3 linked regions of the Styela clava genome follow. The protein of the gene in region 3 purifies or fractionates together with the protein of the main gene of each other region. This does not show direct contact. Links are inferred from orthologs where the notes say so. Each region holds a gene or a part of one and is shown on either strand. Other genes may lie near its edges. The genes, in order: nuclear factor NF-kappa-B p105 subunit-like, ubiquitin-associated domain-containing protein 1-like and E3 ubiquitin-protein ligase RNF123-like.

Evidence for each region.
Region 1: the proteins of E3 ubiquitin-protein ligase RNF123-like (region 3) and nuclear factor NF-kappa-B p105 subunit-like purify together in Homo sapiens (affinity purification with western blotting; 4 studies listed by BioGRID). This does not show direct contact. The link is inferred for Styela clava from reciprocal best matches to the Homo sapiens genes RNF123 and NFKB1.
Region 2: the proteins of E3 ubiquitin-protein ligase RNF123-like (region 3) and ubiquitin-associated domain-containing protein 1-like purify together in Homo sapiens (affinity purification with mass spectrometry; 7 studies listed by BioGRID and IntAct, counting the BioPlex papers as one, with this or other methods). This does not show direct contact. The link is inferred for Styela clava from reciprocal best matches to the Homo sapiens genes RNF123 and UBAC1.

Annotation. Positions count from the first base shown.
Region 1 is NC_135256.1:16,829,017-16,840,934, forward strand, and holds the start of nuclear factor NF-kappa-B p105 subunit-like, read right to left. Parts: upstream 5,536-11,918; 5' UTR 5,397-5,535; coding exon 5,322-5,396; intron 4,858-5,321; coding exon 4,717-4,857; intron 4,361-4,716; coding exon 4,212-4,360; intron 3,288-4,211; coding exon 3,151-3,287; intron 2,481-3,150; coding exon 2,322-2,480; intron 1,781-2,321; coding exon 1,676-1,780; intron 1,336-1,675; coding exon 1,172-1,335; intron 788-1,171; coding exon 715-787; intron 624-714; coding exon 352-623; intron 199-351; coding exon 91-198; intron 1-90.
Region 2 is NC_135260.1:20,338,203-20,349,084, forward strand, and holds ubiquitin-associated domain-containing protein 1-like, read left to right. Parts: upstream 1-6,220; 5' UTR 6,221-6,235; coding exon 6,236-7,390; 3' UTR 7,391-7,521; downstream 7,522-10,882. Other genes in the region: polyribonucleotide 5'-hydroxyl-kinase Clp1-like, read left to right, coding at 3,671-4,969.
Region 3 is NC_135251.1:24,679,418-24,691,056, forward strand, and holds the start of E3 ubiquitin-protein ligase RNF123-like, read left to right. Parts: upstream 1-6,679; 5' UTR 6,680-6,787; coding exon 6,788-6,848; intron 6,849-7,312; coding exon 7,313-7,391; intron 7,392-8,457; coding exon 8,458-8,552; intron 8,553-9,750; coding exon 9,751-9,876; intron 9,877-11,639. UniProt on the Homo sapiens protein: Catalytic subunit of the KPC complex that acts as E3 ubiquitin-protein ligase. Promotes the ubiquitination and proteasome-mediated degradation of CDKN1B which is the cyclin-dependent kinase inhibitor at the G0-G1 transition of the cell cycle.

The sequences.
Region 1 (11,918 bases), on a different chromosome or scaffold from region 3:
AATTTTAGATAAAATAATTTAGGTAATTTGCAATTTTGCTTATCTGAATTAGAGCAATTCCTAGCTTCCATACATCTATATCACACTTACATCAGATCCTTGTGGTGAAGGCACCATAGCGTGTGAGCCTTGCAATACCTCTTGACTGGAGACTCCATTATTCATCATCATTCCACCGTTCATCATTGGCGGGCTGGCCTGTATGAAAGAATACATCAGTCAATGTGAAAAAATTGTGAAATCTATTATTTCTCTGTGATCATGTGTCTTTATAATTGTGGTGTGTGAAAGTTAAAAGTCAAAACAGTAGGTAAATAAATAGCAAATTTTTGAGTTATTTTTAACACTTACTGGCTCCTGTTTCATGTGGTGCATTTTATACAGCAACAATGATGGGTCAAGAGGTCCTTTTTGTGGATTGGCTTGTCTAGGAGGAGGTCCAAAACGTTTAGTTTGCTTTCCACCACCCGTGTTGTTTCCACTGCTCTGAAAGACGAAACCACCTGACTGGCGATAGGTACCCATAGGTGCATGTCCAGCGTTACCATTGGGTTGATTGCCTACAACATGATCTTCAAAATGTGCGCTGACTTTTTTACGCTTCCTCAGTATCTGTTCAGGATCTGGTTTGTTGAGTAAATATTAAATGAAAAATAACTATTAAAAATGTGAATTCAATAGTTACAAAATCACTGAAAATAAGAAAAAACAAACCATCTTGAACAGGCATGTAGGTGAAAGTACGTGGTTCTGATACTTCACCGTCTGATCTACGTCTAAGTTGAACCTGCACCATAAAAGTATATATTTTTATTTTTTGAGGGGAAGAATTTGTTTCGAGCAAGCAAGGTCACGCGTAACCATTTAGTAGTAAAAGAGCATAACATTGAAAAAGTAACAGGAATCCACTGAAATATCAAGAGCTTTTTGAACTATCACTCAAGTGTTTTCCTACAAAATTTAAAACTTCATATGAATAGACTAGCATCAACTGTGAATGTGATATTGGTTACATCAATTTTCAAATTACATTTTTTTGAATAGCGGTTATTTAAAATTTCGTCTAGACCAAATTCTTAAAAGTTAGAACCCCGGCATGCATATCAACTTTTACAATTATAAATAAGAAAATTCTTCTGAGAATTTTCGAAGGGTAAAGGACACAGCATACCTGCACTTGAACAGGCTTGTCTATGCTGACATCTTTGTATCTTGGTGTTCGAAATACGATTGCAAACTGCCTGTGTACATCAGTAGGCGAGAAATCACCATAAGCATCCCAGCCATCATCATTTCCATATTCATCTTCTTCAAAGAAGCGAACTTGAATATCATCTGTAGTTTAAAAATATATTAGGCTATTTGAGAAATTATACTATATACTAAATCATCAACATACTAAAATATAAAAAAATTTAGAAACTAAGCACAAATACCAATCTATGCAAATAGATTTATTATTGCTTGTTAAGTTAACTACCGTGAAGTTAATCATTGTTTAACACCACCTTTGAGCAGATAAACACAAAAGATTATGGTAATTTTTTATGTTACCGGTATGAAATTCTGTGCTGTCAAATGCCTCATTCACATGGGTAATTTCTCCAAGACTTGTACCATCTTCATCTTTTTGTAAATTTTGATAAATCATTTAAGTAGTATTTGAAAAACTGACCTTTCTGGACCTTGTCACATAACAAGTAAATCTCATCCATTCCACTTGCCGCACCATGAGTTTTATCCATACGACAAATTTTCAATGTCGCTGCATTGGGTGACTCTGAACAAAAAGTCCATAAGTTTAAGCTTGGGTAAGCAAAGGATTTAGTCTGAACAATGCTTGTCAGTAAAATTCTTATTTCTAGGATTTTGGGTGAAAAATTAGCATTTAAGCAATTGAAATCTCCCTATTTGAATAAGAAAGCCTTATTTATATTTTTCGAATTGTATATAATTTTTCCTGCATTTCTTATTAAATATACATCAACTTCTGTGTGTTTTTTGTGAAACATGGCCCAATTTATAATATATTATTATTGAAAAATATTATTTTAGATTCAATTTAGAATAGTGGATCATAATATGGTTATACCTACCTAAATTGGTAATTAATTAAGTTAGATTACAAATATGCGAACTGGATTCACTTCATAAGAAAACCTTAATGTTGTGAATCCACAAAACTTGACATCAGTAATTTATCAAATATACAAATATAAAAAAAAAATGATCAATTTGGATCAACTGTTTCAAATTATGTTAAATAAAATCAAATTCAAATTCATGGTCAAATATAATTAAAACGCAGAACAAGAACTCACTGCTGTCAAAAATGGCATCAGAAATGACTGGTTTCAACATCAAAGTAAAAGCTCCATTGCTATCAGGCAGGTAGGCAATGAACATGAGTCTCACGACTGAGAGGTCAATGGACTTCGCCTCTGCAGATGCTTTAGACCTGATGCGTTGTTTGTCTTCATCTAAATAAGATTTAAGATATTTCAACTCATTGCAGAATATTTGAAATTATACCAAAAGTAATATCAGAAACTTCATTAGATATCTGCAATGCAGAAAATAATAAAATACTCTGAAATACGATGTGAGAAACAGTCTTATTACAATTCTTTTCAGCAGGGGACAATTTATCAAGAAAAAGTTGGCATTCATCATGACTATTTCATGAATGGATCGAATGGGCAAATTCCATTCAAATCGTAAAACACAATTTTAGGAAACCAAACAATTCAGTTATTATTTATAATAATATAATATTTGTGAGCAAATACAAATTGCAGATGTAGAGTTTCCAAAACAAAACTAAGCCCCACCGCCACCACACACTGACCTAAAAAATTCATAGTCATTGTGAAATGGGAATTCCCACCATGCCAGTGCTCAAGTTATTTTTATACACAGATATGAAGCGAATTAAGATATTATCATGATTGATTTCAAACATTGATTTCTCATAATCAATGAGAAATGCAAGCGGCAATCAGACACAACTGGCATGAAGCATTGAGCATTTGAACTAAATAATTAAGCTGTTCTGATGTCCCTGATTCTAATAACAGGCGAGGTATAAATGAACAACTTCGATGTCATCAACAGCCATTTAAGGTAAAAATGAATCGAAGGAGATCGTACCCTTTATAGCATTTTGAATGTCCGCGGTCAATCCTTCATTGAGGGACGAGAGCTGCATTTCGGCAGCCAAGTATCGTTCTTCAAGAATTTTTGCTACATTTTTCTTCGTGACATGTTGTATCCCAAGATTGGGAAATCTGAATCATAAAAATGCAAATTTTTTTAATATAAAAATAAATTTTAATTGGTCATATTGAGGATGTCATAAAAGCAAAATTTACTGTTAATAATTGATTCTATATAAATAGAAAAGAATATTAAACGAAAAAATCGATAATTGAGGCAAAAAATCTATATATTCGTTTGAGCAAATGCTAAATTTAAAGTATTGAAATAGAAAGAAGATTTTATAATGAAATGTATAAATTAAACAACATTTCAATTCAAATTGAACCCCATTCTATCAGCACAGCATGAGGTGTGGTAAAGATATTCCGTCAGCATTTAGAAAACAAATATCCAAATATGGCAATTTACATAATTTATCTTTAAAATATTTATCGCAAAAAGATAAATCAAATTATATTCTTATTTAGTTACAACAACTTGATAGCAAATATAGGCTAGGCCTATTGAATTTTTGCATTTATATTATTTGTGAGAAATGACATGACGAAGTACTGTAGAACGTTGTGAAATGCTTATTATAATTCTGGTCTTTGGCCAAAATGATTCATGATTTGAATACTTCGAACATACTTCTTTTTATTGTATGCATTTGCCTCATTGTAACTATAACTCGAGTCTTAAATTTTAACTTGGTGTGTTCAAATATGATCTTGCCTAAGACTATGATTATTTTGAATCCAAGGCTCAATTATAAGCAATGAATTCCTATGATTTTATTAGGATATCCAAATTGAACAATGCTTGTCAAAACAGCACTCCTGATATTTATACCCTGTCGGCCTGTCATGTATTACGCCATGTTTCGAAATCATTTTATTACACCTAGAAAAATCCCCTTCAAATATGTAAGAGAGAAGGGAGGGAAAAAAGAGAGAAAGCTCTTCTGTCTGGAAAGAAAAAATGAGTGAAAGAGAAATAAGAGAGAAACTTACGTGGCAGTCATGTCTTTGGGTCCACACTGAACTGTACAGATGCCATTCTGACATTGTTTTCCAACCAAAGAGTGAGGATGAAGTCGTGGGTTCTCTTCATTTGTAACAAGTTGAACAACAATTCTTGCATATCCTGAGTGATTTCTTATCTGATAATGTTAGGAATTCAATTAAAAAATTAGAAAAATCCAATTATAAATAAATAGATAGTATAAGCTTAGCTGTTGGGCCATCAAATAGCACCGACATTAAAATGGAAATGTTTATATCAAATAACACACAATAATCTAAAACTTATATATCACAAATTTGCACATATTTTAAAATTAGATATTCCGATCATAATCATAAAATACAAGTATATTTGACAATATTCATGATTTTATTAGGTAGTGAAATTTTTCAGCTATTTTGTTTACAAACTAAATTCCTTATACATACCAACAAACACCCACACAATTTATAACATTGGATTTATTGACTGTAGCTATGGCATTAAAAATACCTGAACTGCAGGATATGTTTTCTTGTTTTTATCACTACTAGCCCCGGGTATGCCACCGTGGGATGGTCCCTCACAAGAATACCGGAATCTGAACCCTCTCGCTTTTGGGTGTTCGATAATGTCAAGAAACGGTTCCTGACTCTGAAAGAAGAAAAGCAACGCTTTGATAAATCATTAACTTACTATTTGACCAGTAAAGTAAACTGAGTGAGGCAATTTCTGAGCAAATTTATCATGATATCACCAATAGTATTTTAATTCAAACTACTGGTATAAGAGATGAAGCTAAAATCCGCATGACACACAATTTCAAAGTTCTCACATGGAATGACAATTTTTTTTTATAAATCTAGATAAATGCTATTGGGAAAATAGTTTTTGTTCCAAGTTTGAACAGCTTCATATTGACATGGTTATATTTTTTATGTATAACAAACTTTTTATTTTTGTTCATTAATGTCAAATGAATATGTTGCTTATGGTCCATCTGTATCCTCGGACGCAGGATCATTTTTAAGCAAGTTTAAATCTTTGATAACTACTTCACTATTGTTATGGTTTTGAAAATATCAGAAGATATTAAATACTCTTATAGATTCACATACCTCATCCGGATACATATTTATTGTATTTTCGTACTTTTGTTGAAAAGGTAGTGTTCGTTGAGGAGAGTGATACATCTAATAAGAATAACTTTCCTTCATATAATTTCCACAAAATATTTTATAGGATTATTGTAATAATAATTGTAATTATCCTAACGTAGTGACGACCAATATATTTACTTTACAATAATATTGTTCTGTTGAAAAATCAAGGATTATAATTTACTGATAATAGTTATGGTAGGTAAAATAGTACAAATTGCAAAATGGTGGATACTTAGGTGTTGCACCTTAGGACAAACCACATTCAAATAAAGGCATCTAATGAGGAGAATGTATAGACCTGTCACCAAGTGAGATATGGTATACAAGTAGAGCAAGAGTCATTTCATTGGTTTCGATTGAACACTAAACAAATTACAGCACTTCCTTATTCTATTAAAAATGTCCATATACATATAGCGTCATACTCAAAGGAAACGTTAATAAATGAATTCAAAACTGGTATATATCCAATATCTATATACCTCTTGAGTTCAAAATTATAGAGATGTTTTTTCCAAATTGAAGAACTTACATCAAATAAAGAAAAGTTTATGTACCAGTAAATATTACTTCAAGATATTTTAAAAAAATGTTTATTTCACCCACTACTAATAAAGTATACGCTCTACACTTGATATGTTTTTATTTCGGCGATATTTGTTAGTGCATTTCAATACTTCATGGTAATACTTCAAGCAATAAAAAAGCATTCATTTTTAAATTATAATAATAACGGAGATACATATTCAGAAACAATCTAAATAAATTCTAAATCTCAAAGAAATTGTCTTATAACTGAAATGTATAAATATTCATATATATTCAGGGGTTCCATTACATTTGAACCCACGTACATTTGAACCCATGACAATTGCACCTGTATGCTATTGCACCTATGGAATTTTTTTTGTTTCACGGATAGTTAAACCCATACTAACCCTAACCCATGGGTTATAGCACCCGCATATAGATTGAACCCGTGGATATACGCATGGGTTCAAATGTACGGTCACCATATTCAGGACACAAGTTAAATGAAATAAATTATGCAATAGATTCAGATTGACAATTTTTCGAAAATTGACACAATTACGCCGCAATGAAAACTTGGAATTCAAACACTAGTTTTTTAATATATTTATTTTCTATATATATATTATATTTAAACAGTTATTAGCTAATATAATAGTTATAATATAATACATTCTATTTATCATCTTAAATCAGGTACCCTATATGCTGTAATATTTATGAAGATATATAAAAAAAATTTAAACAAGAATACATAACTAGGCGAAAATTTTTCAGGTCTTCAAAATGAAATAATATCTCTCCAAAAACTGGCAAAAATTAGGACGCAGAATTTTAAATCACAAAACGCACTGATACAAAAGTTTCAGACGGTTTGTCATGATTGTGAAAAATACGATGCCAGAGGCATCAAATTTTTTAAGATAGGAAGCCTGAAAAACAGTTAGAAATAATATGGGATCTATAAAGGTAGAAATTTAGGATTGCTGAAAATTCATCTATTTATATTTTACTTCAAGATGGGGGTTTCTGAAAAACTTTTGAGCAAACTACTAGATATTTTTGAATTTTGAATATAATCATTACCCTATCTGAATAATTAGTATTCTAAAGCCCCATTTTTTAATTCGAATTCATGATGTACTCTAAAGTTAACAAATTTGAGTTTAGTATAAATTGCTGAAAGCAATTTAAAAAAATCGCTATCTCTTCGGTCATACCATTCTATGCTTCTATCATTCATTCTGTCATAAAAATAGCCTGATAATCTCCTATGGTATTGAGGTAATCACAATGTCTACAAGTATATTTGTCCCAAGAAGAAAAAGTAATAATAAATAAGTCATGAAATACTACTGAAGCACTCTTTATTGAACAGAAAGTATGACATCATATTTTCAGGTGACTGCCATATTTTTACTCATTTTTTTCTGAAAAATAAAAGAATGGTTCACCAGGGGAAAGAAAATGTGATACCAGAAAAAGGTTATATATATAAATGTGATCAATAATAACTTCTCCATATGGCTATAGAATGGAATGTCTATGTTTATATAGTTTGACGTTATAGCATTCTGTCCGCCACCTAATTAGTTTAAACAAATACATACGGTATATAAATATAAATTGGACCTCCTGAAGTATGCGTACCAAGATGGCCCACAACCTGAACTCAGGTGTGTACCAGGTTAGGGTTCAGGTTATGCGACATCTTGGTGCGCATACTTCAGGAGTACCTATAAATTTAACAAATATGATGAAAGTCCATGGCAAAAAACATATATAAATATATAGAGTGGCAAACATTTCATATTCAGCTGTAAAGTCTGATCCTACACTTAAACACTACACATTGAGTCATGAGAATGATGTCAAATTGCCAACATGAAAAATTTTGATTATGAAAATTTTTCTAAAAAATATTGTAAAATTTAAAAGTACATCTTACGAAAATAAATGTTATACAATATAGTTATTCGATACATTTTTCCAAAGTCTGCAAAGATATATATATATGAACAAATAAATAATAACACTATAATTTCACATATTCTGAATAGTTTTTAAATTTATATCTTCGTAGCTAGGATTATTTAATTTTGATGAACAAACATATCTTCTTTATTATATAAGTCTACATATTATGACACAAAAATGGACTCATCTGAAACCCTATGCGCTAACATAATATATGAACTGGTCACATTTACATTGTGAAATTTCACACAGAAATTTCCCAGAGATAAACAATAATAGTTGAAAAGGAACTACAGTGACATCATGAACAATATGGATAAATCTGACGTGTGTCATTGTTTGTAGAGGACAGCTTATAAATATAAGAATAATTTGACATCCAAAATATCTGATGTTCTTTATAATATTGATCCAATCAATAATTTGTTTAAGCAGACATTCTTCATTTTTGTATCACAACAAGATAGTTGCAAACTCTTGAATCCTTCTAACTATGCATACCTGTATTTTCTTACAGAACATCAAAAATGTACTACTCATTCCAACAATTAGCTAAAATTGTTTGCTTGATGTTTACAGGAAATCTTATCATCTCAACAATCAATCAGATACAGCAGGGGTATGCAACCTTCAATACAGGAGGGCCAGATTACCGTATACAAATACCTGAGTGAAATCGCTGGCAGTCCATTTATTTAACATAGGCTTTATAGTAGTTGCAGGCAAAAATTTTGGTCATTAATCTTATGGCATGTGTTGTTCACTTCGCACAAGCTAGCATTTGGCCCTCGGGCCAAATTTCACGAAATTTCAACATAACTTGGAAAAAATACACAGACAGAGAGATAACCTCGCACACAATAACCTAAAACACACTATAACCTTGTAATTGATTTTTTCATTGCCGCATGAATTGCCCCAACCTATCTCTTCATACAATCTAATGATTATGACATAGGGGATTCTCACAAAAGGGGATTCTTTAAATTGCAATGATACAAATACAGAAATAACTCATTGTCAAAATCTCGCATTAAGTTGTTTTGCTAAATTTTGAGCCACTGAGCACTGGAGCAATGATGTGTGTTCAAGTTCTAAGCAAAGGAACCAGAAAATATGCAAAAAAAAACTTTCTCTGTTGATAAACATAAGCTAATTTTATTAATACCGGTATTCATTACAGCACTACAGAAAAGTGTTGGCATATTCTGAACATTGAATTCATGGATCTTTAATAAATATAAATAGAGCAGTAGAGTCAGATAGCAGTATAGAAGACCCCTACTACATACAGACATTCTATCCTGCTATCTGACTATTTCAGTATTCTGGCAGTCTAGTCAACTTCTGACCTCAGAGAGTTTGTGGCCTGCTACCACTGTACCATGCCATAATACGTACAGTAATATTATAAAAACTTTTTATCCTTCAGCGCAAAAATAAATATTTAAGAATCATAACAACAGAAGTGTTGTCCGAAAACTGTCAGAAAAGATTACGTATCCGAATTCTAGCACTTCACAGTCTGACAGTTGATGCGGGATTCATATTTCAGTATTTAAAAGTTTGAAGTATTTTTTGCAGTCTAGTTGAACGACGATGAACAAATAGTCTAGTACCAATACCGTCGTTTAAGCGAAAACAGGTCGAGTAAAAACTGTAAACGCAATGTCTATTTGCGTCTACAGCCCCTTACCTGCTTACCCAGTCCATTTTTGAAAGCAACACCAGGTCGACTACCCAAGGCAGTACCGAGACCTCTTCCCTATATCTTCCCGTGGGGTTCCACCTCTAAACCGAATTATGATTGGCTGAAAACAATCACGTGCTATCGTTGCGTGATTCTATTTTTAGTAACACGGAAAGTACCAACAAAAGGAGATAACTTTTGGGCTGTGTTTCTGGCTGGCTCGTGGGTGTTGATTTTTAACACCGGCCAAAATCATTGTTACGAGAGTATAACTATATGTATAAATACGAGTCACATTGAAACGACAACACGTTCTCACGTTAAGTCAACGTTGTATCCTACAAACTACGACTTAATCGTGTGTTGTATCTATCTATAGACAACATTCACATCGGTATCACCATGTCCTCTTACGAGTTATTGCTGCAACGAGCTAGTACATTTTTGATTTTTTCAGCATTAAACGGCTTAGTAATAGTACTTTACATAGCTATGAATTACGTATTTATCCCGGAGGAGAGGAGAGTCGCCAAGACGGCTTAATCATATGTAGTGAATATTTATGAAGACTGGGCAGTGTGTGATTTAATGTTAACTCTTGTTCTTTATTTCATTTCAAATATTATTGAGTTCCGTCATTGTTTACTAAGTGTAACGAAGCGCCCAGACTCAAAAGCAATGTGATTGTCCTCGCGCCAACTACCTCCAACGTTGCCCACCAAAGTCCCATTTCTAGCCACAACAAACAACCTCGCACAGATTAAGGACTTTCTCATTGAACACTACCGAGCCAGCACGTTTAATACGTGTGAACACCAGCCTTTGCCCATTCTAGAAGGGCCGCCAATGAAACTGATGATCAAATCAGACGCCGACCCAGTTGCTCATCACACCCCTGTACCGGTCCCATTGCACTGGCAGGACGAAGTGAAGGCTGGACTCGACCAGGATGTCAGACTTGGCGTGATGAAAACAGTTCCTATTGGCGATCCAGTCACTTGGTGCCACCGAATGGTAGTCTGTGCAAAAAAGAATGGAAAACCACGTCGCACAGTGGATCTGCAACCCTTAAACGCATACGCCACCAGGGAGACCCACCACACGCAATCAAGCACGCTCAGTCCCAAACGGCAAAAAGAAGACCGTGTCCTCTTACGAGTTATTGCTGCAACGAGCTAGAACATTTTTGATTTTTTTAACATTAAACGGCTTAGTATTAGTACTTTACATAGCTATGAATTACGTATTTATCCCGGAGGAGAGGAGAGTCGCCAAGACGGCTTAATCATATGTAGTGAATATTCATGTATACTGTGTAGTGTGTGATTTAATGTTAACTCTTGTTCTTTATTTCATTTCAGTTATTATTGAGTTCCGTCATTGTTTACTAATAAAAGTGTAACAAATGGACTGTCCATCCTGTCTATGACGGAACTCTTGCTTAATATCTAGTTATCGACATTTGGCTAACGTGACTATTTACTAGTACCAGTGCTTGCATTCATCATGTCCGTCGTCCGTTGCCCCATCGAAAGCTGTACATACCAAACACCAGACCAAAGCGATGCCATCGTGGCTGCCTTGATAACAGCACATTCCATCACCCACAACTCATCGCCGGTTGCAAAAGTGCGTAGGCCAACAATCACCATGGCTCAAACATCAGAGGAATGGGCATACTTTGAAACGAGATGGAAGGAATATGTAGACGCAAGGAAAATAGAGGGTAACGATAGAGTAATGCAGCTACTGGAATGCTGCGACGAAGCCCTTCGAAAAAACATCACGCAGGCAGCGGGCGGCAGTCTGGCAGGTAAATCAGAAAATAACGTTATAGCTGCCATAAAACGACTGGCAGTCCGCGAAGAAAACACAATGGTTGCAAGAGTGGCATTGCATAACATGCGACAAGACAGAGATGAGACTGTCCGATCTTTTGGCGCCCGCCTACGTGGACAAGCCGGAATAAGCAAATTCCCAAATTTAATGTCTTTCTTGCGAAGCAACTGTCAATTATACAGATGCTATCTTACAGGACGTGCTCTCGCGAGGCATAGCTGATCAGGAAATAAAACTCGATCTTTTTGGCGACAGAAATCAGGACATGACACTCGAAGAAGTCTTCCTATTCGTGGAAACTGAGAAATCTGGAAAACGATCAGCTACACGCCTGTTCGATTCGATGGGTGCGGAAGCTGCGCGTAACAGTTCCTACAGAAGAGATAAGAGGAGATTCCAAAAATCAGGCAAGCGGAATGTCCGGCATATGACCACACTTGTGGACACTGCGGTCCCTGTAAATGATGGAAAGGGCGATGTTGTTGACTAGGCATATAACATACGTTACTGACAGC
Region 2 (10,882 bases), on a different chromosome or scaffold from region 3:
AAGTACAGTTTTAAAAATAGTTATTAATGTCAATTTCCATCGGAAATCCAAGTTTTTGCTCGTGGTTATTTACCGTCCTCTAGTGTTTACGCATATTTTGCGAGTTCTCAGGTCTTCTGTTGGTGCGAAAAGTTACTTTGGCCCACAATTTTATTTTCGAGTTTCAGAGGCTTTCGTTCAGTTCAGATATTTTTGTAATGAATAATATGAATTGCTGGATAATACTGAATGATGTTTACGAATATATTTGTTTATTATATGTAACTATGTTCTATGATTATTATTTTTTCATCGTTTATTTATTTTTACAAAACTGTTATGAATCCATAGCGTGAAAAAAAAAACAGATATTTTTGTAATGCGAAGTCTTGTTCAAAACTTTGCTTCAGATTAGCTAAAAAAGGGTAAGAGGTTATCGGGAATACAATAAGGAAATGTGGACACAGTGGCATTTTGTTGTAGGGCAGGGTTGTCAAACTCGTGAGTCTTCGTGGGCCGCATTGCGTTTTGGGAATTGCGCATACAGGCATAGGGCCACAAACAGTTTTTCATTTATTTTGATAATGCATACTTTGAGCATATAGGTTTAGTTTGTAACCAATAGTGCGATGCAATTGAACAGCTGAGTGAAGTTTTGTTATTTTCTTAAATTTTGAATGCCATTTAACTTACATATCAATTTTTGCATTTCACTATTATTGCAGTATTGCAATTTACTTTATTTATTACAAAAAATCATAAATTTTTATGTACAACTATCCAAAACATTTTTGAATAAAGTTTTGATAAGGAAAGAATAATACATACACTAAAATGACCTAATCTAAATATTTTGACCTAAAATTTACAAAAATACTACAGAATAAACTCAATGTTTTACATATGTCCTGACGTTTGGCATCTCTTTTGTGCCATTACCTTACTAATATCAGGCTGAAATGATTTTACAGTACCAACTCGAGTTCACATGATCATCGGTTAATCTGTATCGTTGAGAATGTTTGATTAATTTGAGTAATGCAAAAATATTACGTTCATCATTCAATGTATAGATCAGTAAACAAACAAATGACTGACTTTTCGGACCAGATATTTATCGCCACATTTCCTACTATTACATGGCATAGGAACACATGAGTTATGATTGATATTGAGTTTTAGTATCTAGGTAGTTGTATAATTATATATAAATACATAAAAATTTTCTGTTCGAAGTTGATTATTAAATTTGTCCTATTGACTGCTGAGCTTATTCTGATAATGGTTACTTATATAATATTCATTCATTATATGGAAATGTGACAAATTAAACAATGTGCTTTAGAATTTTGAGAAATACAGAAATATTGCAACCCCCATTTTTTTCAAAAATGCCACCTTCTTCATGTACTTTGCGTTTCATTTAAGTTTTTTTTTTCAAGTATTCTTTTGTTAGCTTTAGGTGTATCCATGATTGGGGCAAATTGAAAACAAAAAATCTTTAAATTTTCCAAAACTACTTTCAGTAAATTGTCGTTTTCTGTTTGAATAATCAATTTTACTCTGAAAAGTTTTAAAAATGAATTACATTTAGATAAAAACTTACAAAATTTCACAATTATTGTTAAGCGTTCGAGGGCCGCATTGAAAGTTCTCTGGGGTCGCATGCGGCCCGCGGGCCGCAAGTTTGACACCCCTGCTCTAGCCCACAATTTTGGTACCCTAGCCCAGGGCTACTCAACTGGCGGACCGCGGTCCGAAATCGGACCTTTCGGGTATTCGATTCGGACCGCGACTAATTCTTTATTTTGGATTATTAGCCCCACTTTTGAAGTTTCCTTTTATAAAATCACTTTTATAGGTTTAAATATATATATGAAAAGAACTCTAACGCCATAATAAACAATCTTATATAGCTAATAATCATTAGTCTGTCTAGGAAGTGCGTGTTTAAATATAATTTCTGGAAAGTCCGGACCCAAATAGTTTTGAAGTTTTGTATGCGGATCTTCGGATAAAAATAGTTGAGTAGCCCTGCCCTAGCCCACAATTTCGATTACCCTAGCCCACATTCTGGTTATGCCAACCGACATTTCTGTTTAGCGGTCGTCACATTTGATTGTGTGGATTGGTTTGGATGTAAAAGAACATGTTATTATTCCCGTAGCTAAATTTCTTAGGTTCCCTTGCTTAAAATCCGGTAATCACTGTAAATATATGTATGATTAACCCTCTGATCACCATGCGATTGTGGGCTGGCAAATTGTGGGCTAGAGTAACCCGTATTTAGGTCTACCTACCATTGAATAATAGTGCTGTAGTCCATTGCAGTATTACAAAGATTTAGTCCATATGAGTAAAAGTGTAAGTGTAATCGATTTTATGAGAAGTAATAGAATAAATATGTACCGTTATAACGGCTCAGCACCATACGATGGTCAATGGCGATGTGCTCGTTAGGGTGATTTGAATAAATAGATCGTACAGGCACTTTATTTTTGATGACGAGGTTCTGACTGAGTTCCTTTCAAAGTTCAAAATGATTGTCCAGAGATGTTTATTGTCAGATTGTTGAGTCAAAAGTTGGTGAAATAGTAGTCAAATAATGGTGAAATAGTAGTCAAATAATGGTGAAATAGTTGTCAAACAGTAATCCGGTAAAATACAGTGCTATTACACAGAAGGGACCAATAATAACTATACTGAACAGGAAAATAGACTTATATTATGTAAATTTAAACTACGCCTAATTACTAATACCGAAAGCCCCCCGATTGAGTAAGATACAAATTGATACGTCCTACCTCCAAGCGGCTCACGCCGAAAGAGATCCCACCAATGCCAAAATGGTCAGGGTTCAATGCCCTAAGTTACCGTTGCCAGTTTAGTTACAATAAGAACAGTCACTGTTTAGAATCATGGCCCCTACAACCGTACCGGTACCCGTACTGTATGACAGTATGATGTCAAAATGCTGAAATGGGCAAACATTCTGACATTATTGACATATGACATATATGACAAACTTGTAAAAAAAATCGCATTGGGAAATGATAATTATCCGTAATTCAAATCTTGTAACCTGCAATAGTATTCACAATTGTATATTGTATTCCTTATAAAAATTTGGGAAATTAGATTCAATTATATGTTACTATGGAAGATTTTGCCCTTGAAAACAAAACCAGAGATGAAAAGAGTAGCAGGGATGAAATATTTTTATTATGCAATAGAGAACCTGAGTTTGTGTCACATATTTTCATGTCTTGTGAATTCACAACATGGGTGATATTTGAGTCCAGTGCATCTTTTTGAAATGAAGTAACTGTACCAAACAATCGAAACACATTTTGTTACGAATCATCACAAAAAATGTCAATTATATCAAAATTTCTACATTTCAGGCCATTTTGCAGTTTGTGTAAACGATCAAAAACCTGGGTGAAATTTTAACGTTTTCAATGAAATGAATGCAGTCCGATAAAATTCAAGTGTCTTTTGATATAGAAAATACAAAACAATTACTTTTACTGCACTTTTTAAAAAATTCATGAAATTCAACATTTGCTTGAAATGGCCCACAAAAAGACTTCGTTAGTCGTTACTCATTCAATTTTGTGTATACAGCAGGTATAGCAGTACATTGTGTTATAAACCGGTAGTGTGCATGATACAGTGATAATACGCTAATATGGCAGTTGCAATGACAGCCTCTGATGAGAAGGGTATTAACAAGGACATGGTACAGGATTTCAAAGTCTCAAAGGAAAATGAACTGCGATTTGAAGTTGAAGCAAAAGAAAGAGTTAAGCTTGAGCTTATGGATGGAATTGCTGAAATCTTTGGTACTGAACTTGTAAGAACCAGGTCATATATATTTGAATCATCGTCCAAAATTGCTGTTTTCACCTGGTTCGGATGTTCTATAAGATTGACAGGCAAACTTGAAGCTGCATATGTTTCAAAAGAGACTCCGATGACGATTTATCTTAACACCCATGCAGCTGTTGAGTTAATGAGAAGGAAATCTCAAGCTGAAGAATTGAGAGGGCCGCGAGTGTTGGTTGTTGGCCCTCAAGATGTGGGCAAGAGCACATTCTGTAAACTGTTATTAAATTACGCCACACGCATGGGAAGAAAACCAACTTTAATCGATTTGGATGTAGGTCAGGGTGGAATATCTATCCCAGGCACCATAGCTGCTCTTACGGTTGAAAGACCATCTGACCCTGTTGATGGTTTTGATACCAAGGTACCACTTGTTTATCATTTCGGACACACATCACCAAATGGGAATTTAAAACTCTATGAAGTGTTGATTTCAAGAATTGCAGATGTGTTTAATGCAAAAAGTGAATGTAATTTAAATGTAAGAGCAAGTGGATGTGTAATTAACTCGTGTGGATGGATCAAAGGACAAGGCTATAACTGTATATTGCATGCGGCTCAGTCTTTTGAGGCTGATGTTGTATTAGTTCTTGATAATGAAAGACTTCACAATGATCTTAAGCGAGACTTACCAGAATTCGTTAATATAGTTCTTTTGCCAAAATCTCCTGGTGTTGTAGAACGATCTCGCGAATTGCGTAGAGATCACAGGGAAGAACGAATCAAAGAATATTTTTATGGACCCAATAAAATATATTTCCCTCATGCGTTTGATGTGAAATTCTCTGAAATCTCAATTTTCAAAATTGGTGCTCCTGCTTTGCCAGACTCTTGTTTGCCATTGGGAATGGAGGAAGACGATACACAAACCAAACTTGTACCAGTGAGACCACAAAGAGATTTAGTTCATCACATATTGAGTCTAAGCATGGCTGAATCCTTGGAGGAAAATCTTGTTGAAACAAATGTTGCCGGTTTTGTTGTTGTAACTGGTGTTGATCCAGAGACTGAGACACTGAGTGTGTTAGCTCCAGCTCCATATCCTTTACCGCGAAGACATTTTCTTATCATGGATATTAGATTTATTGATATAAACAAGTAACATTCTAAATTTAACTAATCTAAAACACCTTGGCTAGTTGTGTTCTGGCCTCAGGTGTTGGAATTTTAGTTGGATAACTACCAGTATGTGAGTATATGAGTGAAGATTACTCATCTATGTCTATTCTCTGAACTCAAGTTCATGCTACCGAAAACAAATAACTAACTAAATCCCATACCCTACATGGAATGGTAACCGGACGAGAGGCCGTGGTTCGCTATATGGTTAAGCCATCTTATCGACTTTCCTCTCCCCCGGGAGAAAATAGATAAATCCTAACCGAACCATAAACAAGAGGCCTTTGTTTGCCACATGATTGAGCTTCCCCATTGACGTGTGGATTCCTGTGGAATATATATGAAAGTCCCATCCAATATAGACTACTGCTACTGGTAGTTGACATCATATGTAATGACATTATATATGACAACGCCTAAATTGAATAAAAGAATACACTCAGTCATTTGCAATATTATGAACTTCCCTGCATTCTGCAAATAAACTTGGCGTCATACTCAGTAAACTGGGGTTTTTTTAAACATGTTGGAATCATTGGTGCTGTAGCAAACAATACAGGTTTCACAAATGTTTTTATTGCCCATTGAATTGCAGTAATAAATAATGGCCTCTGGATTTCATCATCATGATGAAACACATTTAAATAGACTTGATGTATCTGGGAAAAATATTCTAGAACCTTGTTTTTCTTTAGGTTGTAACTCTGTAAAGGTTACATTTGTTTCATTTTCTATTCACATGGTTTTGTTGATAGCTGTTTCTTCACGTGGCCTTTGTGTGACTTTTTAATGTCTTCCTTGAAAGCCGAATTATTGTGATACTGAATTTTTCATCCATTTTTCAAGATAAGATTCTATTTCTATGACAATGAAAGCCTTTTCAGAAAGTTTTAATTGAATGTATGTGGTAATTGATTTGACTGAGAGTTTCAGTTTATTAGTGAAGCCTGTTTTCAGTAATGTTGTTAAGTGACTGCTTTGATCGAATTTTGCAGTTGTATCAAAAGGTTTCAATACAGGTTATTATTGATGTTGTTATCAATCGCTCAATTCATAAAATATTTTAAAAACTTTTGAATATTTTTTATCATATGACTTGAATATGGGTATTGTAACAACAGTAGTATAGGACCATTACTTTGGTGTTTGTGAATGTTCAAAACAAGTATTTCTATCTTCACAATGCTTTGTTGTTTTATTTGTTTGCAGATTTAATAAAAAGTAATATTAAATTAGCCCTGTCTCTAAAATGTATAAAGAATCTGGTCCATCTAACTTTGCAATAAATATCTTCAGTATGCAAGGACATAAAGTACTAGTTGATGTTCAAACAGACATGTCCATCGAATCTGTGAAAAATGAAGCTGTCAAAAAACTTTCAAATATGCGGGGCAGTGGATTTGATAACACTGCAGAATACACACTAGTATGTGCAGTGGGACAATGTAGACGTTTGTTCAACAAAAACACCATAAAATCTGAGAATTTGACTGCCGCTGATATTCTTCTGTTATACAATGTTCAAGAACAAAGTAGTAAAGATCCAGGAGTCCCAACCAGATCTATTCCAACAATGCCAGGAATAAAGAAGGCAACAGAAGGTTTAGTAGCTCGAGGGAAATCAGTCGGCGAAGCTGCGTCATCTGCTAATTCTGCTACAGGCACACTTGAGCAAACTTTTCGTAAGATATTGCTCACTTTGCTTGACCTTTCTTACAAACTGATGTTTTTTGATGAAGAAGCTGATGGATTGTTTTGTTCTAAAAGTAAAACATTGAATCTGGTGGATCCTAGTCTCATTTCTTCACTGACTGCGATGGGATTTTCTGAAGCAATGGCCTGCAAAGCTTTAAGAGTGAATCAAATGGATATGGAAGCTGCCATGGATTGGCTGTTACACAATCCTGAAAGTAGAGAGGAAAGTGCGATGGACACCGATACGGAAACGGATGAAAATGAAACCGAGGATAAGGATGATGATAAACATTCCGCAAAACGAGTGAAAAGACGCCTTGATGCTTGGCGTAAGAAAAATCAGCGTTTACAGCCAAGCAATGAACATATAACAATACTTGTAGGCATGGGGTTTACCAAGGAAGACAGTACTCAGGCGCTTAAACTTAATGGAAATAATCCAAGTGCTGCATGTGACTGGCTTTTAGGGGATAGGAAGGTTCCAGATGATGACCCAAATGATGGCTTAGCTCCTGACAGTGAACTGTATAAAGCAATTGTCAGTAATCCCACAATACATATAGGGTTACACAATAAAAGAGTTTTGGAAGCCTTAGAAGACATGCTTGAAAATCCCTTGAGGAGACACAATTGGGCAAATGATTCGACTGTAGGTTCTGTAATTCTACAAATATTAAAGCTTTATCATAAATATTCCAATTCTGGTTAGCATATTATGACATGAACTTCTCTTGAATATTTTGCTGATATTGAAAATGTCCGAATTTGCTCTTATATTTCTGTATTGACGCTGAGAAAATATAAAATTTTGTTTTATTAATAAATTTAAACCACACAATGCTTCAAATTTAGCTCCCTGTTTAATGGCTTTGGAGTGTATTAGCCAATTATTTTTGTATATCCTTCCCTTGCCATAAGTCATATTTTTGAACTGAGATTATACCTTAGAGTTGTTTTATAACTGATTTTTATACCATGGAGAGGAAATCCGATTACATTGTCAGTGTCAAACCAAATGGCAAGCCCACGACCTCTCGTCCGATTATCAGTTCATGTTAACGGTATTCATTCGTTTCAGACTTATACTTGCGGTGTCAAGCGTGTTTCTAATGCTCAGCACGATGCGTCATACCGCTGAGTATTTGCTCGGACCACAGGTAAGTAATATTAAAATACCTTGTGTTCTCTTCATATTGTTAGGTCATAGTCTTAAGGAAATCACACACTATCATTCTGTAGCTTCTTACATTCTAGAGGTTGCGTGTGGGTGGCCGTTATTTAATGGTTTTCTATGGCCTTGCGCGACTTTGGGGCTGCATGCAACCTTGATCGAAGCGACTTCTATTAATAAAAAGTTGGAGTGCGGAAGAGACTTGTGTATGATTCTTTTCTCATTTTCAATCTGCCGTTGTTAAATACCCCCCCAAAATAAACTTCAGACACTCGTGCTTATTTTTGGCTCTAGGTCGATGGCAACCCTGCCTATAATCGATCGAGTCCATTCACTAAATCAGTCGATGAAACTTGAAGGTGGTGCGTCTCTGTCCCATTGTATAAGTTTCACGTTATGAGATAACGAGAGTCTGTTACCCCTAGGGATGGGACGAGTCCGGCATTACAGAGATTCGACGAATCCGAGTAATAGGTCAAGGACTCGAATCGAATCTGCCGAGTTCGTGACGTCATAATGGAAAAGCAGAAAAACGTGTTTTTGACCATGCTACAGCATCATGCTCTCACAAACATACGTCGTAGCTCATATTTTTTGCCTAATGGTCCCGCATACAGCTGTTGAATCATTTTAAATATATATTTTTTCTCTTTTCTGGCGGCCATAATACAAACGTAAACGTGGGTCAATGTGCGCCTTGGCTGTGAACTGGATTTCCAGCCCACCTTGCGTCAATTCTGGGCGGCTATTCAGAAATTCTTACATGTCAATATGAAAAATAAAAAGCTTTCGACTACAATACTTTCCCATAATTCCAGATATTTCTAGCCGTAAATTTACTATGTCGTGTGCGCAATTGGTAGAGAAATGCCACTCGTCGTCAATACAATGTGGTACATCTGCTTGCAATTTAGTAGTTCATATAAACGTTCTGAAACTCTCCATGATTTCCATTGCCTTTTTAGCGAAAGGATTGCACGCAATAAACTTGATTTAATTAAAAGAGGTATTGATGAGATTCCACAGTGGGTTGATCTAGGGCATGTTTTATTTTTACGTGAATCAAAAATATTGCAATAACACATATTTTATTGTGTACCACATGCATACCAAAAAGGATAGATAGTTTGAAGGCGACTGGCGCAACATCATTGTTATAAGCGACCAATAGTTTTTAACTTGCGTTATATTATCCGGATATCTGTCGTCGTTTTATTAGGAGTGTTTATAATGCACACGAGGGATATTGTTACAGATCCAACCTTGAATTTTAACTAGTTAAGGTATGTAGTGGGATTTATAGAGGCAAAAGAACAAACATAGGCGTAAATTAGTAAAAACAGAATTGATTATAGACTCGGTAAAAATGACGTGGCCTCGAAATCGAATCCGAGTCCAAAAATGCCTGGATTCGACTCGAATCCGGATCCGAATCCCGGCCCACCCCTAGTAATTTCAATGCGAATATACGGTGCACAAACAATTAGGATGAAATCGTAATTGGCGGTTACAGACAGGAGATAATAAAAAAGATTTTAAGCGCGTTGAAACTCGTGTCACTGAATTTCAATATTGATACTCGTTGATGATTACTCCCTTATATTATAACAGTGTTTCTCAACCTGGGTCTAATGAACCCCCGGGGTTCGACAAAAGCACTGTGAACTTTTGTATTATGAAGTATTTCTATTTTCGAGCCAATTAAATATGTAAAAATAACTATTATTTGAGGCAGATATTCAAATTTCAACATTCAGACAATTCATATAATAGCTTATTTATGTGTAGTATTGCGTAGATAAATGTTTTATAGGACCTGTCAATGAGAAACGTCACGCGCTTTTTTAGATGCTTTCTGACCTCAAAGTGTCTAAGGTTGTTATTACTAACCTCGGGGTTTTGAACCTGAATATTTGCTTAAACGCCATGTTATTTATAACCTACTAATAAAACTAGCGGACCTTGAATATTGTGTATTGAACTGCAGGTCCTTTCTCCTTGTTTACTTTCTACTTCGGATCCGTATGTGGTATTTGCCACAAGGATGCTTGAATGAGATAGTATTAAAGTGACAAGTGAAAATAACATGATCTCTTTCAACGAAATAGTAAGTTTATTTGTGAGCTTTCGTCAGATCGTGGTCTAACTTCTTCAAACATTACAAGATATGACTTAATCAAACAGCAATAATGATGACAGCAATTATTGTAGTTTGATTAAGTCATGGACCTTTCCCCGACCTTTGACCCCCGAAAAAAATTCTTCCTATACTTTACCATTGCAAAATTTTCGGGGCTATTTTAAGAGCGCTTTTGCGAGTTGGCGCCTGTAAAACGGGGTATGTGTTTCAAACCATCATTATGATTCATCGCACACAACAATCTGTTTTTTAAAAGTACCGGTAAAGAATTTTAGCCTAGTCTATCACAGCTATTTCTACACTAATTTTTTATTACTGCAATTCAATTTAAATTCATAGGAAGACAGAGTGATCATTGACTTATCTGAAGTTTCCGAAACACAACAGAAAACTAACGAATAGAGTTTAAAAACGCGAAAACGAGGTAATGTTTACGACCACGTTTGAAAATCTGTCTGAGTGAGAAAAGTGTCTGAGCGGATGCAAGTGGAGCATTGTTACGTCACTTTTCGCATCTTGCTGATCGGCCAATGTCACGAAGTAAACAAGAAAGTCGATGCTCGGGAAAAGGTCCATATCTTGTATTGTTTGAAGAAGCTAGATCATGATCTACGGAAAGCTCACAAATAAACTTACTATTTCGTTGAAAGAAATCATGTTATTTTTACTCATACTAATAAAACGTAGCTCAATTTTACGAACAAGTTATTAAGTGTACAAAATTGATTGGGAAATTAGGGCACGTTTGAATTTCACTAAATGGTAGAATTTCCAGAACCGAATATTTCAGGGCGGAGCTTCAAGTAAAAATATCATCACCCGTCGACGACTTTAATATAGCGCTTAGCCGGTTTTACATATCGTATCTTTGTTTCTGTGAAACAATGAGC
Region 3 (11,639 bases):
GTCAATCTAGTTACGTGATACATACTGCTATTAAAATACTGCTCTAGAAGTGTGTGTACCAATCATCAAAAGGTAACTTATTTTGTTCGCCTACTTTACATCAAGTTGCGTAAAGGGACTGAAACCTATTGGCGGGGGGTATATTCACTTAGCTAACACAGACAGTCCCAGAACTCGTCATAGAGCAATAAAATAAGGAGAATTGGAATAAAATTATGGCATAACCCTAACCTGGTACACACACTACGAGAGTATCAAAAATTGTTAGATGGATCAAAAAATTACGTGATGAATAAAAGATAGAAATCAGTGCTAGATCGCCAAAGGTATGTATATGTGAGCGATACTAATGGTAGACATCAGTAAAAGATGACCAAAAAGGTAGATGAAATTAAATGTGTCGGCCTATAGTACGGCAGTTCTCCTTTGCATAAAAATGAAGGACCTACCTTTAACGAAGCTGGCACCTCTACTATATATATAAATATATATCTCTATATCTCTGACAATTTAAAATCATACCAATTTTCGTCATTAGTACCTGTTATATATATCTACCTTTAAAGGTGAAAGTTTCTTGGGCGATTGCGCTGAGCTCCCTTTCTAATTGTCCCACCTTATACAAGCTTTCTTCCACTTTACTGAACTGTTATCAATTTCCTCCCAACTTCTGGCATTTTATCCAAACATCTTGCCAATTACAACAGAAATCAGTCTAAAAAAATGCAATTCTCTTCTTCGGCTCGGAATTCCTATAGCAAAATAGTTCGACACTGAACTCAACTTAGAAAAAAAATTAAATTTTATTGGCAAAAACTCTAGCGTAAGCAAGCCTTAGAAAGTTAGGAACGTTTAAATGAATTTAATGCTTTTTGTAGGAAGTTTTCATTTGCCAACTTTGAAATTCTAAATTACGACTCACGAAAAGTTTAGAATTTTCAACTCCGGAGGTTTGTAAATACAACTCCACTCGGTTCATGCAACGCCAAAATAATTGCTTTGTTCCATGACAAATTCACCCCGTGACACAATTCTGTTGGTGTTTTTAGTTGTGTGCTTATTATGGAAATGGAAAGAAGTAAAACATGTTGAATCTCTGTCAGGCAATGCGGTTTAAATATTCCAACCGAAGTTAGCAAACATCCGAAGCACCGAGTTGCAAAAATATTCGGTCGAATAAAGTGACTGAATAGAAAAGCGTCACTGTGAAACAAGAGAGCTGTGCTCAAATATATGGACATGTCACAAAGTCTCGCTATTTTTTATTCTGACACATGAAAAACGAATCTCTTGATGTCCACATAAATTTTTGAAATGAGTAAAAGTAATAGCCTTCTGGCAAAAAAATCAATCTTCAACCACTGAAAATCTCAAAGCAATTGATCCAGTATTCGAAGAGAAAAGCGATTTCATCATGACGAGGGAGAAGAATAATACTAACAAGAACAACAACATAATATTGAAACGATCGTTATGTACACTGACGTGTCAAATGAATAAAACAGCAATATTCTGAGTGAAATATTGCTTCACATAGTAGCCTACTCAGAGAAAATTTGAGAATGGAATGCAATAGCTTTCTAGCGACTCCTTTCGTCTTGAAATGGAAACATTTGAAATTAATTGGCTTATCTGTAGATTGATCCGCAGGTCCATGTCGTGTTCAATATACGTATAGACAAATAAGTGATGGAAACAATCAAAATATAAAGTGAATCGCATAATAATCAGCTGTCGAATTCAAGGCACATGGACAACCTTTATCAAATTGAAATATTACAAAGAGCAATACTCCATACATATATTGATGAAATCCATTTGGTTGCGCAATCTTCCCAAATTAATTAAACTTAAAAAAATTAATCAAACGTAGAAAATAGTAGGCGCAAATAGTACAGGCAAATTTGAAAACAACACGTAATAGGCAGGACTTCCATAAAATTGAAACCAAAAGTAAGTACGATAGTGAAGTCGTATTGCATGCAATAAGTACAGTTGCACATATTAATCCCCGTCAGTTATTTACCGAGAAACAATGTTTCATTGTTCGACACAATTTTAAGTTATATTTCATTGCAACTCGGGTCGAACATCGCCTTTACCTGCAAGGATAGGATAGGATTTACATAATTATCTCGGGAGAGGGGAAAGTCGATAAGACGACTCCACCATATGGCGAACCGCGGTCTCTCGTCCTGTTACCATTCCACGTCGGGCATGGGATTAGTTAGTTATTTTCGGAAGCATGGACTTGATGGTGGAGGAAGCCGTAACCGACCAGCGGTTACGTGAACCACCTTACAGCGACGAGCGATCCTCTCGCACATAACCATCGCTGCATGGGATTCGAACCTGTGAACCCACGCAGAGTAATCAGAGGTGCGGTGGCGAGCGTGTGAGCCACACCGCCGCGCCAAGAGCGTCTATTACGATTCAGGCTAATTAAGAAATTAAGGTCAATGGGAAACGTGCTTCTTAACTTAACCGCGAGAACAGTTCTGAAGCATTAGTCCAAAAACAAACGATTCAATGCAACGGCCAGTATATATTAAAAGCCGGTACATTCCCAACCCGTACGGACATTTTCACCCAAGGTAGGCTACATATTTATTCATGGACATTTGCACAGATGGACCTCTTGCGTATATTTGCATTCAGAGTCAATTACCCTCGCGAATATTTGTGTTTCGGCCAAAAATAGTATTTGGCCCCTACGTTTTACAGTCATTGCAGGTTATAATCCCATATTTGCGGTATATTTTCAGCGTAATCAAATTCACGTTGGTGTCCAGCTAGTATACACTGGCAATTATACCGTATGAAAACTATCCACAAATGAACAACACGTCACAGTTAACCAACCCATTGCACAAGAGAAGCGTGCTTCGATAATTATCTTTTTTTCGTAATTTGTGTTCGATTGATTTTTTTTACCCGTTGAAAAAAAATAAACTTGACTTGGTGAAAACAAAAATAATCAAATGAGATCCAAAATTGAGAGTGAATAAAGACCTCGACTTTGCGAAAGCGAGATCAATGTCAAAGTTGTGCACGTTTGCAACACTTGTCCTTATTGTATTGTTGATTCATGAAGATAACTAGGCCTACTGTTGTTTCCTTACCTGTTTCGAGATTTTGCTTGATCTGAGTTAGTGAATGAAAATCCAAATTAAACGCGTGCGAATTTCGAATCCACCTCTCGGCGGAGAATGGCAAAAAAACGCGTTTACTTCAAAAACTGGTGTTTGTGAATGTAAAAGTTCACGGGTACAAATATTCATCGGTCAAATGTTTGTGGGTACAAATGCGGGCTCGGCGGTGTGGCGCATCGTGCTAAGGCTATTTGGAATACCCCCGCCACAGCTCCTCTGAATACCCTGCGTGGGTTCGAATCCCGTGGGGACGATTGCCTATGCAAGAAAATTGCTAGCCTCGTCTCCGCCTTGGGGTGGTTCACGTAACTGTTGGTCGTCTAAGGCTTTATCCACTATCATGTCCATGCAAATACCTGGCTAACTAATCCCATATTCTACATGAACTGGAACATGAACACGAACCGGACGAAAGGCCGTGGTTTGCCTTTCGATTAAGCCGTATTATTCACTTTCCTCTCTCCGGGTTAAAAAGCTAAATCCTATCCTGTATACATACTGCAGGTGAATATCTTCGTGGGTGCTAATGAAGACCTACTCGTGCAATATGTGCGCGGGTGAAAAAGTCAACGGGTGCAAATGTATTGATTGCAATTTTCTGTGGGTGCATATATGCACGGGTGCAAACGTTCAATGGTGCAAATGTTCATGTACATGCAATCTGTACGTGGTTACCAAATGTATGGGTACAGATCTCCACGGATGCAAAGGTACGCGGGTGCAAATGTACGTGGGTGCAGTTATTTTGAACTTTGCGCTCCTTTTTTAAATAAAGATTTTTTATGTGTTCAACATAGATCGAAAATGAGAATAAAAGCTTAAAAGCATTGTCAAAATTTTCTGTAAGGCGCAAATTTCAAAATAATCCCAAATCGACAGCATTCAAGCGTAAATATTAAATTAAGTTGTACATTCTGGAAATTTATAGCAGATAGTATATATGATTTTTTCTAACAGCGATGACAAGTCACAATTCAAGCCCTGCTTATAGAAGATTTTTAACTAATTTCTAGAAAATTCCTATTTGTCAGAGGTGAACCTTAATTTGCAGGAAAAATGAAAAGTTTGTTTATTCCATCGCAAGCACTTGTACTTCTGAAATCTCTGGCGAAATCGTCGTAACAGTATTTAAAAAGAATGTTTGCGATTTTTATGAGAAATGTCTATCGTATATAGAGCTTTATGACGAAGCCCAGGTATTGGTGATGATTAACGTAATTGTTGAAGGTACAACAGCCCGAAAATTTAATACTATCGTGTATGTTGTTCGTTAAGTTTGGCCGAATCCTCATTTAATTGGGCTTGTATTTTTTGTGTGCATGCTGGTGGGCAGGCACATGAGATACTTCATGTTTTAAACTTTTCTATAGGTTTTGTTTGCCCTCCAGAATTATCCATTTTTAATTTATGTTTGTTATGAAGTTTTCGAAATAAACTATCTATCTATCTAATCAAGTGCGTTTTGTCCCAACAACAACTTTACTTTTTCAAAACTATCACCGTATATCAAAATGCCCACAACAGTACCAGGCTGGCAGTGATGGAAACATACCACAATTTTCACACCGCCGCCCCCAGAAAAATGTTCCAATAGGCCTACATACGAGCGCCTTTGATGCTTATTTGGAAGCGTTTTTTTCGAGTGGGGGGTATAACGCTTTGATGCAGACCGCTTTTATTGTTTCATTACCATATTTCGATTCCACATTATTAAACTATTATTTACGCCGTTTCTACTCTCTAGTGTCCTTGTTAGCTGATTCTTTGTCGGTTGTACAGACACTTTGTACACTTTTATAGACAATTTGGTGCAGACAACCGTGTCTTAACTATGTATAAGACGGTAGGCCTACTGTATAACTATTGTGCTACAGCGACACTGCGAAGTTTGCGACAGACAGATACGGTTGGTGCGGAGCAAACAAATTCTGAAATTACAGAACCATTTTACCGTTTTCGCTCAGTGTTGACGTGACTTTTGATACATCGAACTTCAGACTGGATAGATCTGTAGATATTATGAAAAAATGATGTTTGAATAAAATACATTGTAAAAAATTAAGATAGGCATACCGGTACCAGCATACGAACAATACCGGTAGTCAATCTCATTCGAAAGAAACCAATTATGCCTTTGACATTCAAGTTGCATATCCGGCATTCCGGTCGACATAATTCATGCAGATTCTGCTAAAGTGTCAAGAGTTATTAAGAATTCAATATTCAGATATTTACATTTATTTCAGTACCGCAGTACCGGTAATTATTTTAGGCTATGCCCCAATTCCAGAATTCCTCCAGGCAGCCAGGACTGCATGATGATACAGGGATACGGTACCTGCCGGTACCGGTAGCTCGTATGCAGCATTACCAGTCAGCCAGTAAGGAAGTCTGGAAGTAAGTGAGGCACACAACTCGCCCACATTTAGACATGGACACCTCGCTTACCGACAGGGTTTAGAAGATATGATTTACATAGGAGGGTTTAGTCTTTAGATTGCAGAAAGGAGGATTACATACCCGGACTGCCGGAGAAGGATTTACATACCCCTGTACCCGGGTGAGAGGAAAGGCAATAAGACGGCTAAATCATATTGCGAACCACGGCATGACCGCCACTGACCCACTACCACACACGCCAAGGATCACGCTTTAAACCTGTACGCTTTAAACCTTACGGTACTTGATGTTTCTTTTGCTTTCCCGATTCTATAATTAGTTTTATTTATTTTGTTTTTATCAATTATTTTATTGTCTATTGCTGATTATGGAGTCGAAATGAACTCATACTTATCAATTACCAGATTACTGTAACAGTATTCCTGTATTTTGTTTATTGCGTATTGGTATGTGTTTCAAATAGCTGAATAGTGCCAGAGTGTTGATTTTGGTTTTTGCTGCAATAAATAGTGCTCTGTCTCTGTGTTAGAGTTGTTAACCCAAGATGTGAAATTATCGTAAATATAGTTTTCAAGGTTATAGAATTCGATATAGCAATTCTGATCTTCCACTTTTGACACTGTCTGACTGTCTTCAAGTATTGCTGAAGATAGTTTACAATTTTCCTTACATGTTGCACTTATAATGAATTTTTTATGTCCGAGGGTTACATACCTACTCAAACAGGTACAGAATTATTTGTGATTTACTGATTGAACAGCATATTTTCTGTCCAGCATTTCTGGTTTCCAATATTCTATCCGGTTTATCAAGACTACCTAAAATGACATCATAATATGCAGAGGCGAAGGGAAATGTCATCAATGATATGTCATTATTAGATTCAATACAACTTCAATACAGTCATAATGAAGTTACTAGACACAATTTTAAATGTTTTAACAACTTCTTGAAAGAAAGATGTGAATTAACAATTGTATTATTTGTCATTTATTTGGTTGCCCGCACGTTTTATGTGATAAATACAAGTGAATTTCGTCATGATTGTAAAGTGGGTGAGCCACACTAATTCTACACATGGATCACCAAATTTTCAGTTTAGAATTCATATTGAACTAAACTATTTTATTTACATGTGAACAGATGGGTTAATATATTATTCAGCCTGCTTTTCATTTTGGTTTATAACCACAATCTTTATTCCATCTGAGTCTTGACTGCTGAAGGGTAGAATAATGGCGACTTGCAGTTCTTTTTCTGGGACATCATTTGGGAAGCTCAGGGAAGCAAAAATGTGTAAGTATTTTTTGTGATCGATAACTGTACATATATGTGTATATCGGATTATCTGAAACTGGGCCCTCAACCCTTCTATGGGGCCACAGAGCGGTTGTCTGGGGGCCATGAGCGAATGCTTCCACTAGATATCATTTGGGATGGCTAGTAAGTAAATTGATTGTGATTTGTTTCATTATTTGACTGTAAAGTATTTATTCTTTTTCTTTCCTTCGTTGACTTTTTTATCATTGGATATAGGATATATAGGATTTATATATTCATCTGGGGAAGAGTGAAGCCGATTAGATGAATAAATCATATGCCGAACCAAGGTCACTCGTCCGGTTACCAGTCCATGTCGGTTATGGGATTAGTTATTTTACATGCTGTGACTCATAATCCACTTTAGTCTAGGAATAATGTTCCTAATATTAATCATATGGTCTATAATATATTTTTTGTGTCCTTCACTGTTATGACAGGTCCACCCGACAAGTTAAATGCTATTCTAACCAAAGTTTTTCCGAAGAAGTTCACCACCAAGCCATCTGGATTAAAAAGGTAATTAATTGCCATATATTATTATTTCATTGTTTCTTTCTTGTTCATTGGTATTGGCGGTAGTAACATCCATTTACTTTATGAAACAATCCTTCATAGACGGAGAAGATTCACGTTTGAGTTGTGAGTAAATCACAATCGTAACCTCGAAACAGCGAAAGTCGCGACCCGTAACCCTGTATACTAATATATACCATGTGGTGCTCGCTGTCTACCAGATATGGTGTATTTTCTTTATATGACGAATTTACGCATTATTTGACAATATACCACGGGTTGCTCGCTGTCTACCAGATATGGTGTATTTTCTTTATATGACAAATTTACGCATTATTTGACAATATACCACGTGTTGCTCGCTGTCTACCAGATATGGTGTATTTTCTTTATATGACAAATTTACGCATTATTTGACAATATACCACGTGTTGCTCGCTGTCTACCAGATATGGTGTATTTTCTTTATATGACAAATTTACGCATTATTTGCCCTGTACAAGTCTCTGCGCAAGCAGCTACTGCTTGATAAGTGGCTACTTTAATACCTACCCCATTTATTTCACCCTGGGTGTGGTGGTGGGCACAGGATTTGATCCAGAGATATACTTGGTACCATCATAGAAAAATATTAACGCTTTAATTTAACCACTTGGTCACTGCACCCGCAAACTCCCGTATATCAAAATTAAACTTTGAATCTGCAATATTTGGAAAATGACTGCGTTATAGTCACATTTACAATTTTTGTTCTCATGTCAAGAATCAGTGACTGGAACAAATATTGTTAATTGCAATTATACTGTTTCTTCTGAAGAAGTCATTCTATTCATATTCAGTTCAGCGGTTTAGTTGTGTACAACAGTGAAAACACTTTTTGTATAAATAATACAGAATTGAGTTGATATACAAATAAAATCATAAAAATATTCAACTATGTTTTACTTTTTTAATCTACAAGAATTGAGCATTATTGGAATTCGGATAGCTGATTAATATTACCCAAAAATATATATGATAATTGTGTTATGACAATTTCAACATATAAATTTCTTTTCACTTATTATAGTAATGATATGTTGGGATTTCACAACCTGGAAAAGCACATCACAAGTACCTTGCTAAACGCAGAGGAAGCTAAACCAGAGATGATATCTTCTTCAGGTAAGGGAACTTTCCAAACAGAGTATTTTCCAAATAGCGCAATATAAATCTCATCTTAAAAAGTACGCTATATGTATTATGTTATGTATACTATATGACAATATGCAAATTGCAGCAAAATCATGGTTTGCAATGTATCTTATGTAATATGATTAAATTATTTGTGGATTGTATTCAAATATTCAAACAACTGCCATGTTCGATCGAAGATTATTCAAAGTGTTATCATATATTCAAAATTCTTTTCATGCTAATGATAACCTATGCACAAGAATTGAATTGTTCTCTTATAAAATAAGCGTATTCTTAGGCAGACTTGAATTTCATTTGACGGATTTTTTCTTCCATAATCTCCAGGGAATTTTAATATTTTAGTGTTGAAGAATATGACATTCACAACTTGACATAAACATGACCATATATGATCCTATCTTAGCAAGATTTTTGTTATATGTTCTTTCCCTTTGTTTCCTTCCAATTTTGCATAATTCAAATTTGCACCAGTAGTTAGTTAGAGCCAGAGATCTCATTTACCGAATAATTGACTATTTCTTACTCTTCGTTGTTATTCATCAATTCCCTAAAAATCTATCAAAAATAAAAAAAAATTTAAATTTCGACTCGAGTCACAATTTCTTTACAACACTGGTTCACTTCACCCAGAGTTCTGCGAGCTCAGTCCGCGAGGGTGTAGGTGTATATTCAAATTCGAAAGTTTATATTATTATGTGCATATTGTTATTGTATTGAATACAGAGGTATAATATAAACATATAATAAATGATTTTAATGAGAGTTTCGTTAAAGACCTTCAGGGGTTCTGCTCCAATTTGTTTGTTCACATTTTTTTGGATTGGCGATTTTTATTATAATAAATAGAGCCCCGGTATGTTTCTTTGGCGTTCCGCTACACCAGAATCCTTGAAAAGCACTATTCTACAACAATGGTTAATTTTGCTAATAAATACTAATTTCATTATACTACACTACAAATATTACTTTTTTACCAGTAAATATCCGTCTTGACTATTTTTTTAAACTTGAGTTCTATTTTTAAAGCTCTTAAGTGTTCAATCAAATATTCGATCAAATGAAGCAAGTCTTGTTACTTAAACTTCATCAATTCACAAATAGGAAATACCCTGGGCATTTTCATCTACTATGCATCGATTCAAGCAATTGTAAATATTTTATTTAGAAAGTAAAGCTGGATCGAGTTCTGGTAGCGCTGGTACGAAGACTAGGAGTTATTTGAAAGGTATTTTTGGTGAAAAGAAAGTGGATCCAAAAGATTCTGAAAAAGATAAAGGACCTGACTTTGAAAGTTAGTGCTTCCCTATTTGTGTATTATCTATTTCGATTTCAAGTATCTTACGGGAATATTTTTTTTGATACTCTCGAAGGATGTGAACCAAGAAGGCGGATACTCGGACGTAGTATGTGTACCAGTACCAGGTATAATTTCAGGTACAAATACTACGGGAGTCACTTGGCTAGTCTTCGAACTCGTAATATCTATTCGTAACTCGTAAATAAGGAAAATTTAAATATAATTATGATCCAGCCTAACCTGGTACACATACTACGCTCCGGTATCCGCCATAGTGGTTCACATACTTCGCAAGTACCTTTTTTTTGTTTTGGTAAAATCATGTAAATCTTAAATTTTTTGAAACAATGAAAAGATAACAATTTATTATTAAATTGACCTTTTTCAAAAAGCAATAATTCAAATAGCCTATTATTAAAACTTAATTCTGGGAACAATCCCAGAATTATTATTTATTTATGTGTAAGACTAAATCATTGATGATTGTCAATAGACTTATTATATCATTCAATTATCACCTCAAACCAGCTAGCTGCATTTATTAACTTGTAGGCTTAGCTAATATCTGTAATTGAAAAATACTCGACTGGTGCTTGAATGTTGAATTGGATATTTCAGCTTTCATACGAGTGAAATTTGTGGGTTACATTATTTGTGTGGGAGATCGTATATTGCTGTCATTTTCATTAGCTATACAGGATCTTCGATGGCATAGTTTGTACATTTTTTAAAGAATAAATAATTTATAATGTGGTAGAGTTTGTTTCAAATAAAATTGTGACCTGTATTGTCGTCTTCCACGCTAGCTTATTTTAGATCTTCAAAATTCGTAATTTTGACTAACTTTTTCAAGTTATTTTTTTATTACATTTTACGGATTTAGAACTTTTTTATTTGATATATAACAAGAGTTTCAAGACCAAAAGGGTGAATGTTGGAATGTTGAAAAAGTTTTATTCAAAAATGTCGTAAAGGAATTGCTGCCTCTTATTTAAAGCTGTTTTTAATAATAGTTTGAAGGATTATTAACTTTAATATTTCAGTAAAAATTTACAAAAGTCTGAAAAAAAAAATAGTTTTTCCTATTTTTGAAACGGCCAATAGCTTTTCTTATTTTTAAAACAGCTTTCGCCGTTTTGGGTTACCATAATCAAGTTTTTTTCCCCCATCATTCGATTAAATACTTTTCTTGAAGACTTACTTTAGCTTTAAAAGTTGCATTTAACAGACTAATTGAAACATATGTAAATGGATTATACGATTGATTAGAGTCGCTTGTTCCTAGTAACTGCTCCTTTGTCTCTGTCTTGGTCAATGTGGAATCATATGCACTCCACTGACCGTAAGAATACTGTAGCAAGAATTAAAACAGCTAAATTGAATGATTGTTTGTATAATCCCTAAACCGTTCCAACAATTTATTTTGTCAAATTTCCTCAAAAAGTTGTTGTGACTCTTTGTTATTGACTCTTACAAAGTTCTTATATTAACTGTTGTCACTTATACTTTAAATTCCTTGGTTATCATTATTATAGATTTTTTGTTCTTTACATGAATGTAATGGAGTATTTTGTTGTTTATATATCCAGATATATGATTTATTTTGATTACACCAAGTTAAATCGATTATACACCATGTTTCAATAGAATTAACAATTTCTGAATTACTAAAACGTGTTTCTACTTCAAATTCTGTTAATGCTAAATTACCTAAAATTTCGTTTATTTGTGTGCTGATAGTTCACCATTGTCTGGTT